Linked DNA regions of Saccharomyces cerevisiae S288C. The gene in region 1 interacts genetically with each later gene. Each region holds a gene or a part of one and is shown on either strand. Other genes may lie near its edges.

Evidence for each region. Genes that interact genetically often act in the same process or in processes that back each other up.
Region 2: of YJL043W (region 1) and ADY3, changing one enhances a phenotype caused by changing the other (phenotypic enhancement), as found in Saccharomyces cerevisiae (one study listed by BioGRID).

What each region holds. Positions count from the first base shown.
Region 1 is NC_001142.9:356,904-362,277, forward strand, and holds YJL043W (uncharacterized protein), read left to right. Parts: upstream 1-3,226; coding exon 3,227-4,000; downstream 4,001-5,374. Other genes in the region: succinate dehydrogenase SDH9, read left to right, coding at 1-1,025; GTPase-activating protein GYP6, read right to left, coding at 1,397-2,773; MHP1 (Mhp1p), read left to right, coding at 4,346-5,374.
Region 2 is NC_001136.10:25,903-30,581, forward strand, and holds ADY3 (Ady3p), read right to left. Parts: upstream 2,874-4,679; coding exon 501-2,873; downstream 1-500. Other genes in the region: GUD1 (guanine deaminase), read right to left, coding at 3,083-4,552. UniProt on the Saccharomyces cerevisiae protein: Involved in the pathway that organizes the prospore membrane (PSM) during sporulation. Mediates the assembly of the DON1 ring structure at the leading edge of PSM during meiosis II.

The DNA of each region.
Region 1 (5,374 bases):
AAGGTGCCCGTGGTGAGGGTGGATTTTTATTGAATTCTGAAGGAGAAAGGTTTATGGAACGCTATGCTCCTACTGCCAAGGACTTGGCAAGCAGGGATGTTGTTTCCAGAGCAATCACCATGGAAATCAGGGCTGGCAGAGGTGTCGGGAAAAACAAGGATCATATCCTTTTACAATTAAGCCATCTACCACCTGAGGTACTAAAGGAAAGGCTACCGGGAATATCTGAAACAGCTGCTGTCTTTGCGGGTGTCGATGTCACCCAGGAGCCAATTCCTGTCTTGCCAACTGTCCATTATAATATGGGAGGCATTCCCACAAAATGGACTGGTGAAGCATTGACCATTGACGAGGAAACTGGAGAGGATAAGGTCATCCCAGGATTGATGGCGTGTGGTGAAGCTGCTTGCGTATCGGTTCATGGAGCGAACAGATTAGGCGCTAACTCACTACTGGATTTAGTCGTTTTCGGTCGCGCCGTTGCAAATACCATTGCTGACACATTACAGCCTGGCTTGCCTCATAAGCCATTGGCTTCAAACATCGGGCACGAGTCAATTGCTAATTTGGATAAAGTAAGAAATGCTCGCGGCTCACTGAAAACCTCTCAAATCAGGTTGAACATGCAAAGGACAATGCAAAAAGATGTTTCTGTTTTCAGGACGCAAGACACTCTAGATGAAGGTGTTAGAAATATTACTGAAGTGGACAAGACATTTGAGGATGTGCACGTTTCTGATAAGTCAATGATCTGGAATTCTGATCTCGTAGAAACTCTGGAATTGCAAAATTTACTTACTTGTGCCACACAAACGGCTGTTTCTGCTTCCAAAAGAAAGGAGTCTCGTGGTGCTCATGCGAGAGAGGACTATGCAAAAAGAGATGATGTGAATTGGAGAAAGCACACATTATCATGGCAAAAGGGGACATCAACACCTGTAAAAATCAAGTACAGGAATGTAATCGCACATACTTTAGATGAGAATGAATGCGCCCCAGTCCCTCCAGCTGTCAGATCCTATTAATTCTTATTTATTTATTTATTTATTTTGGAGGGCAAACTTATTTATTGATCTGGCAAAAATGATCTTTCCCTTTTTTCTTATTTTTCTCTCTATCTCTCTCATTGATTCTTGGTCAATAGTACTCGTTTACTGTCAACTTACACCTTATCTATTATGCTATATAATTTTATGCAAGACATTGAAGTACAATATACGTCGAGCTGCAATATGCAAAAATATCAGAGGGAAACCAGCTCATTAGGAAATATGACATGTGGGCTATCTGTTTGTTGGTGGTAGCTGGGTTTTTTTTTTTTTTTTTTTGATTTTGTCGTGCGGGTGTGCAGGCTGGGATTTCAAACAAATAACAACGAGTAATTGACAAGAAAAACTTATTGGCTTATTTTCTTTTTGTTCTTCAAAATTGTTTGCCTTACCCTCTCCCTCAGTTTGTTTTCGAGTGATTGTCTATTAGGATCAATAGTCAACTTTGCTGTTTCCATACTTAAAACATCACTAGTCTTTATGCCGAACTTCGCATTTATAAAAGTGTCGCAAATCAATCTCATATCGTCGTAATTTTTTCCATACCACAATTCACATAAATTTCCAGTGACCTTACACAGGTCTAAAAACTTTTCATCATCTTTACTGGCATCTTCCTTTTCAAAAATTTTCTTGAAATGCAAAATCAATTCAACAAATTCATCGTTATTATTCGTATGTTCATAGTCACCTTGGCTCACTAGTTCGTGAAGCTCATCGTAAATGGATAACAAAAGGGTGATGATAGTGCATGCAATGAAAATATCCAAGGGATAATTGAACGTCAGGACGTGGTCCCAAACGATTAGCACATATTTTAAGGGTAATTCTCTTAAAAATAACAACCTTGTCCATCGGATGAGCCAGATTAGGTTGGAGTGAATCAGATGGTCTACGTTTTTTTTCTTCCCGCTGCCCGTTTTTGGTGGTTGGTAAAAAACCTTTGAAAACAAGTCTGGCAAACAAATCCTAAAGATTTTCGTGAATACTCTCTTATCCCAGTTAATCAAATTTTCTTCGTTATAAAAAATCGGTTCGATTTGGTTCATTAGCTTGTTAAAGATAATCAGAACGTTTTGCAAATCGGTATTATCGAGATCTGTACCGTGATATAATTGCAGATAAATGACGCTTAATATTTCGTGGAACCCTTGTTTATACTGTAGGTGTTCGCTTTGATGTATAAGCAGGTAATTGTACAAAAGTTGTCTCATTTGAGCATGAACCTTGGGTTCCTGAAATATATCGTCAAGCATTATCCTTGAGAGGTCCAAATCTATAATTTCCAGAGTTTCCCTCAGTGTCAACGGCTTTTCATCACTTCCCTTGGACAAAGAACCTTTAGTTTTGTCATTGTCATCAGACAAGGGATGTTTTTCAACAGCCTCGACGGGAGTCAGCCTCCTGATTCCCACTGAGGAGGAAACGTTCGAGTGCAAGACCCTTTTAGGTACATTTGCATTATGATTTTCGTCATAGTTGTCGCCATCTGCCAGCATAGGCACTGGCACCAAGCCGAACTGGTTAAGGTCCAAACCTTTAAAGTTATCAGTTAACAAGCAGTTGTTGTTTTCATCACACAGAAGCAAAGCTTTCCAGAGCCAGCCTCTACTATTTTCTTTAAAGATAGAGTCATGGTAGAGTTCACCTTTCCAAATTCCCTTCTGCACCAGTTGGTCTCTTGTCTCGTAGTGGTCAATCGCCCATTGTAAGACATCCTTCATGGTTGCATAAGCGAAAAAATACAAACGCACGACAGCTAACCCTCTCTATGTATGCCAATTCTCTTGACAACTCTCCCCCATTGTTCTGAAAAAGGTAATGAAATTAAACGCTGCTGTACCGATTATGGAAAACTCAATGGAAAAATTGAAAAAAAAAAAAAAAGGAACTAGTAATGCCGTAGGAGAAGCGGGTAACATAATATCCGGTTTTCCTTTACGACCGCTTACAGGCCTAAACCAGCGCACCATCCAGTTACAATAACACTTGGAGCATGCGTACACGTGTGCGTATTCTACGGCTGGCATGGGCAAAATAAGACGTGGAATTTTTCTGTGGTCAGAACTTTGCGTCAGTAAATAATTCAAGAAAAAATAATAATTATGTCGAAAAAAAAATAGAAAAAAAAGAAAAAAAGAATACTAAAAGGTGAGTGTTCAGGAAAACCGCAAGCCATGTTTGTTGATTATTCCGGACTGGAGCGTTACACGGATATAAATGCATCTTTTGGTAAGTTGGTCAACACTTACTGCTGTTTTCAGCGCTGTGAAGCCATCAGCGAACAATTGGAGATTCTGAAAAGTCTAGTACCAAAGTGCCACGACATTGTGGCACTTACTGACGAAGACTTTGCTAGTGGCCGTACTGCCGGACTGACGCAGAAATTGTTTGCTATGGCGATGACCCTACACCAGATCACCGACTGTATCGACCTCCTGCAGAAATGCAACACCATAATACCCATCGAGATCGCCAACCCGGCTAGCTTTGAAAGCGGCGCCGCGACGGCGCCGCTACGTCAAAGCTATGCTAGGCTCTTGGATGACTGGTCCCACTACATGGGCCCATCAACGGTAAAACACACAGGCTGTACCAACCGACCCAAGTGGAGATTTCCCTGGCAACAGTCACGGACTATCATCATCCCCATGCTGTTTATTGGCGAAACTGCAATGAGCACCAGGGACCTAAGGTCTGTGCTGCATGATTGTGAGATCAGGCACGCGAGCGAAATGCCGCTGCAGCTACTTTGGACGTCGTCACCGGAGTTGGTGTACGCCACACCGCATGTTGACGACTACGACATTTGGTCGCGCTACGGGTCTGATTACAACATGCAGATAGAGGACGAAGACGAAGCATCAAAAGGGCGACAGCGCAAGTGTGTGGTGCAGTTGGAGGCACTGTTGGGTGCGCTACCTACTACGGACCCGTTGTTCCAATGGTAGCCCGGGCCTTTTTTTTTTTCATCAGCTTCTCTTTTAGGCCGTCGGCCCCGTTCGATGTTCACCCGTCCTGGACAGCTTGCTCTCCCCCCTTCCTCGTGCTGCGCGACTGTTTACGTTATTGGCTTATTGTATTGTTTTCGCATCTAGAACGTTCAGGTTCAATTTACGCAACGGTGTTTCACTCGAAGCATCTGGCTGTACAAGCAAATGCTGCGTTCTCATTCTCCTTTATATAACAAGCTTCTGCCTTAAAGCGTTCATATGTACATACATATACACCACTCAGGCACTCGCATAATCGCACTTAAATACGCAAAATATACAAGATAGCCCTACAACTGCTCCATGGACTCCAAGGACACGCAAAAGTTGCTTAAGGAGCACCGAATCCCCTGCATCGACGTTGGATGGTTGGTCAGGCCCAGTGCCTCCACCAGCAAGAGCTCCAGACCAGGGAAATCCGAGTCCAAGGCCAACAGTGTGGCTCCTGACATCCAGATGGACACTGCTCGCCCGCCCGTTTTCGAAACGTCTGTAGACTCTTCCAGCAGCATTCTTTCTTCAAACGATAAGGGACGCCGTCACTCCGTAGCTGCGAGCTTGCTAATGGATAATCAGCGTGCTAACGCTGGGTCTACATCCGTTCCCACAAACATTCCTCCCCCTAGGGGTAGGTCGAAGTCAGTGGTGGAGACTAACCTGTCTAACGTTGAGGCTGACTCCGGACATCATCACCACCACCGCCACCACCATCACACGGAAGATGCTCCTGCACCTAAGAAGGTCGGATTCTTTAAGAGTCTGTTTGGCCATAGGAAGAAGGATCAGGAACAACAGGAGAAGGAACGAGAAAGGAAAGAGCGCTCACCCTCTCCGACTCACGTGGACCGTGGCGCGGCCATAAGAAGAGAAAGAACGGCTACCATATCTGCGGAATCACCACCGCCTTTGCAGTACAATGCTCCACCCTCTTATAACGATACTGTGGTACCGTTAACAAGATCCAAGACGGAATCAGAAGTGTATTACGAAAATCATCCGCAAAGCTACTACCATGGCCGTATGCGCACATACCACTCACCAGAAGAGGGTAAAGTCGACGGAACTTCCCCCGCAGACGATCATAACTATGGCGGCTCTCGACCTGATCCTAGATTAATGGATTTCTTGCGCTACTACAAATCTAAGGATTACAAATTAGCCGCCTTCAAAGAAGGGAACTTTATTAAGTCATCTGCGTCTCCCACAACCAAGAAAAATAGACGCGCTTCGTTCTCATTACATAACGACAAACCACAACCTGCCAAATCACTTGCTCACCAGAAATTTGACGCTAAGGGAAGACCCATTCCGCCGCATCCCGACGCACCCAAA
Region 2 (4,679 bases), on another chromosome or scaffold:
ATTTTCCTTTTTTTCTTCTCCTTCCCCTCAGATTTCGAGGTTTGTCGTTCTTATTAGAGTTCTTTGCTTTTTTCTTTGCCTATTTCAATAAAATCTTACCAGTATGCTATGGAAATGGACATTATTTTATTATTATACAACATAGTATATTCTGACTAAAATGGAATTAGAAATTGTAACATTAGTATGTACTTATAATCATTTGTATCATTGTATTACTCGCCTTTTGATGTAAATTTTGTTTATATCTCAGAACATCTCCAACAGCAGATCAGAAGTTACATTGTTCTTGTAAGTGCTTAAGAAGTCTGTTAGCAAATTGAAATCTTTCAGAAGAATATTCCACCAAAATTTCGGAAAAGCAATACCAGCGGTAAAATATCTGCCATGCTCTATATTATGTGACTTTATTTTAGGTGCACCCCCCACCAGTAACTTATTCTCTAAATAATAATTAATGACACCATTGAATATATTAGTTCTAAATAAAAAAAAAAAAGCTAAGAAAAGAAATATTTAAACAACGCTTGCAAATCATACTCAAGAGGATGCTTTACTTCAGCAATATCATGATTGTTCAAAAACTCATTCATTGCGACCTTTCTTCTACTTTTGAAATCTAACTGTTTACCAAAAACCTTAAGGTTCAAATCATTAGCAAATTTTGTGAGAAGTGTAAGCTCACATCTAAGTTGAATGACAATTGTTGGTACAATTTTTAAGAAGGTTTTTAATGGGATATCCAACACAATTAATAAATTTTTGATTAGATTTTGCGATTGCACATAGGTAAGGTCTGTCAGAATATCAAGACCCAAGGAGTCGTACTTTTCCTTCGTTATATGTGGAAAAGATTTTCCAACAGTTTCAAAATTAAGTTCGGTAGAAGGATCACCATATAGTTTTTTTAAATTCAGCTTCTCTTGGAATACATCTTCTTTTAGTGATAGAATTGTTTCTTCGAGTTTTAATATTTCACTTTGTTTTCCAGCTAACTCGTCAGTAATTTTCTTATGTGTGTTTTCTGACTCTTGAATTTGAGTGCTCCATCTTGAAGCAATCAAAGCCTGATTCTGAAGTTTCTCAACAATTTCCTGGTGTTCATTCATGTAATCGTTCAATTTATCTTCGGCATTTTTCTGAATTTTTTCACTTAGTATTAATTTTTCTTTTAACTCGCTCTTCAGTTTTTGAAAGTTTTCTTCCTTGAGGTTCAGGATATCATGCCATCTCCTTTTTTCCAAACGAAATTGTTGTTCTTTTGTTAACGCCTCTTTTTGAAGATATTTTATTTTGTGACTGTGCTGCTGTTGCATAAAATGTAATCTTTCATTAATCAATTTAAAGACAGAAATGATTTTTTCAAGACGTATACGGTCATTCTTTTCCAAAAGTTCTATCTTTCCTTTTAATTGTTTGTATTGCTCCATATTTTCAAGATTTTTGATATCTTGAAAATCCGGATAAAGCTTGGCAAAACCGTTTTGAAACATCGAAGGGGAATGGCCACATTTCATTTCTTCTAGTATGAATTTACCAAGGTCTTTCTCAAAAAGAGAAAGATTTTGCATATAGCTGTAAACATCATTTAACCTTTTCTCGTAAAACGAACCATTATCATGTAATTTTTTATTTTCATCTTGAGAAAGTTGCAAATTGCTTTTCAGTATTTCAACTTCAGATCTTAATTTTACTATAGAGTTATTCGATTCGTTAATATCTTTTAGAAATTTATCATTTTCTTGCTGCAAGTTTAGGATTTGTTTTTGCTTCCTGTATAGTTCCGAAACTAAAATATTTCTTTGAGAAAAAGCTTTACATTTAGTTTTGGCACTAGTCACTTCATTCTTCTCCTTCTTGCTAGCGTTTTTGTTTTGAAAGTCTGTAATTTTTTCTTCTCTAATTTTTTTAATTTCTTTGCGAAACCGGTCCTGAACAATGTTGAGCCTTTTTGATGCAGCTTTTCTTTCGTTGTGGAATTCCTTCTGCAAGTCTTCTATTCTTTGAAGTTTAGCATCATTCATGCTATTAAGTTCTTCTAGTTCTTGAATCCTGTCATCCTTCTCTTCTAGTTTTTGTCTTAGTGCTTTGATCTCTTCATTTTGGGACTGGAGCTCATCTAATACCTTGGGTAAACTATTTTCTTTAGAAATACTTCCTCCATATGATGAAGAAGATAGCCTAATTTCTCCTAATTTCATATATTCGGACTGTTCTTCATCTGGAGTTTTAGATGAGCGAAATACGTTCTCTAGATGCGCAACCTCTATATTCTCCTCCAGACTCTCATTGCTTACAACATAATGCTCATCATTTGAGATTGCTGCGACTTTGTGGGGATTCGTGAGGAGCTTTGTAGGTGTAGAAGAAAATCTATTCACTTCAATACTATTGTGTACTTTGTATGTGGTAAATTTACCAGGGCTTACATTTCCTAATGTACTGGGCTTTCCTGCAGGTGACAGAGCCTGCGAGCCTATTCCTACAGTTGGTAAACCACCCCTTTGTAGAAATTTATTAGGCGATTTTAAAGTATTTTTTTCCGTAGCATTTTCCAATGTACTAATGTTACCAGAAGGTGAAGAGGCTTCTGAACCTGCCCAACTCTCTGAGCGGTTTCTTCGGGAACGCCTATTCGACAGTTTTGATATAATATCAGAAGAAATACTTTCCTGCACATTAGATTTTTCAGTGGACGTAGGTACTTCAGAGTCTATCCAAGTTTGTGAACGCCGCTCTCGAAAAGGTTTACTTTCTGGAGACTTAGTTAAAGTGCCATCAGTAACATGTCTCATCTCCCCCTGCTGGTCGCAATCCGAGTTTTGTTCCTTTAGGGATTCAGGCTTATTCAAAAATGCTAACCAATGATTCATATTCGGAGAAGTTTGTTGTATTCAACTATCCCATTCAAAATCCCAAACCGAGTTTTGCAATTCTTTCACTGGCAAATCTCTTTGTGTTCCTAATCTTAATATTGTACAATGGGCGGCTAAAGCGCGATACGCAAAAGAAATTTGTACATATACTCAAATTACTCATTAATACTTGGAACAAGATATAGTAGCCCTCTAAACATATACAACTAAATCTGGTAGACTTGCTGGCCGGCTACCCAAACTTTAGTGGTGTTGCGATCATCACCGTTAAAGAACCATTTTGCGATTATGTCTTCATTAGTAAGCAGCGGTGGGTTCTTATAAGGGTCTTGCCCTTGCTCTTGCTCTTGCTCTTGCATTTGATCCTTCTCCTTTAGCTGCCAATGAAACATATCCACGTTTGAGCCGGGAGCATTGGTATCGATCATTTGAGCGTCAAACTGCTTACCGACGTCAAAAGTCCCCAAGGTCTCATCCATACGCAAGACTTGTGCTCCGCCCATTGTAGCAAGAAATAGGCACTCGGAGACTGAAAGTTTTGCATGATCAGTTTCTCTCATTGCCAAATGCCTTGAAACTGCAAAGGCCTGCCTTCCGGTGGTGAGTATGCTACAAGAATGACCGGCTGAAACGTCGGTGCCTAGACCAACCTTTATGCCCTGGTCCAGCAACCATCGAACCCTACACTCTCCAGAAGTCAGAGAGGAGTTGGAAATGGGACAATGAGATATACCACAGCGACGCTGTTTAATCACACGCGCTTCGGCATCTGTTAGATGAATACAATGTGCCAATACTGTTTTTTCTGTGAGCAGCCCATATTTGTCGTATACATCAGTATAGCTCTCACATTCGGGAAATAAATCTTGAACCCACTGTATCTCCTCCTTATTTTCCGACAAGTGGGTTTGAACGTGTATGTTTTCATCCTTGACTAGCTTGGACAACTGTTGCATTAGTTCTCTAGAACAAGAGGGCGCGAACCTTGGTGTCACTATAGGATTTACGAGGGGATCACAAATGGTTTCCCGTATGTACTTAACAACTTTCACAGTGCTTTCAAAGGAAGTTTTAGTATCTTCAATATAATACTCGGGACCATTGGTATCCATGCACACTTTTCCAACAAGAACACGCTGCCCCAATAAGGAGCTTAGTTGAGCCAAGAGCTTAGTGGACTTGAGATCAATGGTATTATAGTAAGCCACAGTCGTTGTACCGTGAGAAAGCGTCTTACTTATTACCTTATTGTAAACTTCTCTCGCAATATTTTCGTTTGCTAGTGCGGCTTCTATGGGGAAGGTATACTTCTCTAGCCAATCCAGCAGGGTAGAATTCCCAAATACGCCGACATTTGGATATTGCGAGACATGGTTATGCGTGTCAACAAAACCTGGAAAATAAAAGCTGTTATTTCGAGTCTTGTCTTTTCCAATTATGTCAACCACCGTGACATCCTCTGGTGATAAGCTACTATCGTGATCTAAACAATCTTTGACAGGATCGAGTGAATTTCTGTTCACAAACCTGATGATTCCGTTGAGAACTCCAACAGATGTTTTCTCTCTGATTCTCAGCTCTCCTAATTTAGGGGTATCTACAAAGGTACCAAAAAAAACTAGAAACTTTCCATGTTTGTCGTTGAATTTATCAAATAATAAATCACTTTTTGTCATATCCTCTTCAAAGGACAGCCCAATTCATATATTCATTCAATAAAATGTTGTTCTTTTGCCAATGGCCTGTTTTAAAATCCTTATCTTGTCTCCTTTTATAATCCGAAACTATCCAAACTTCCGAGTG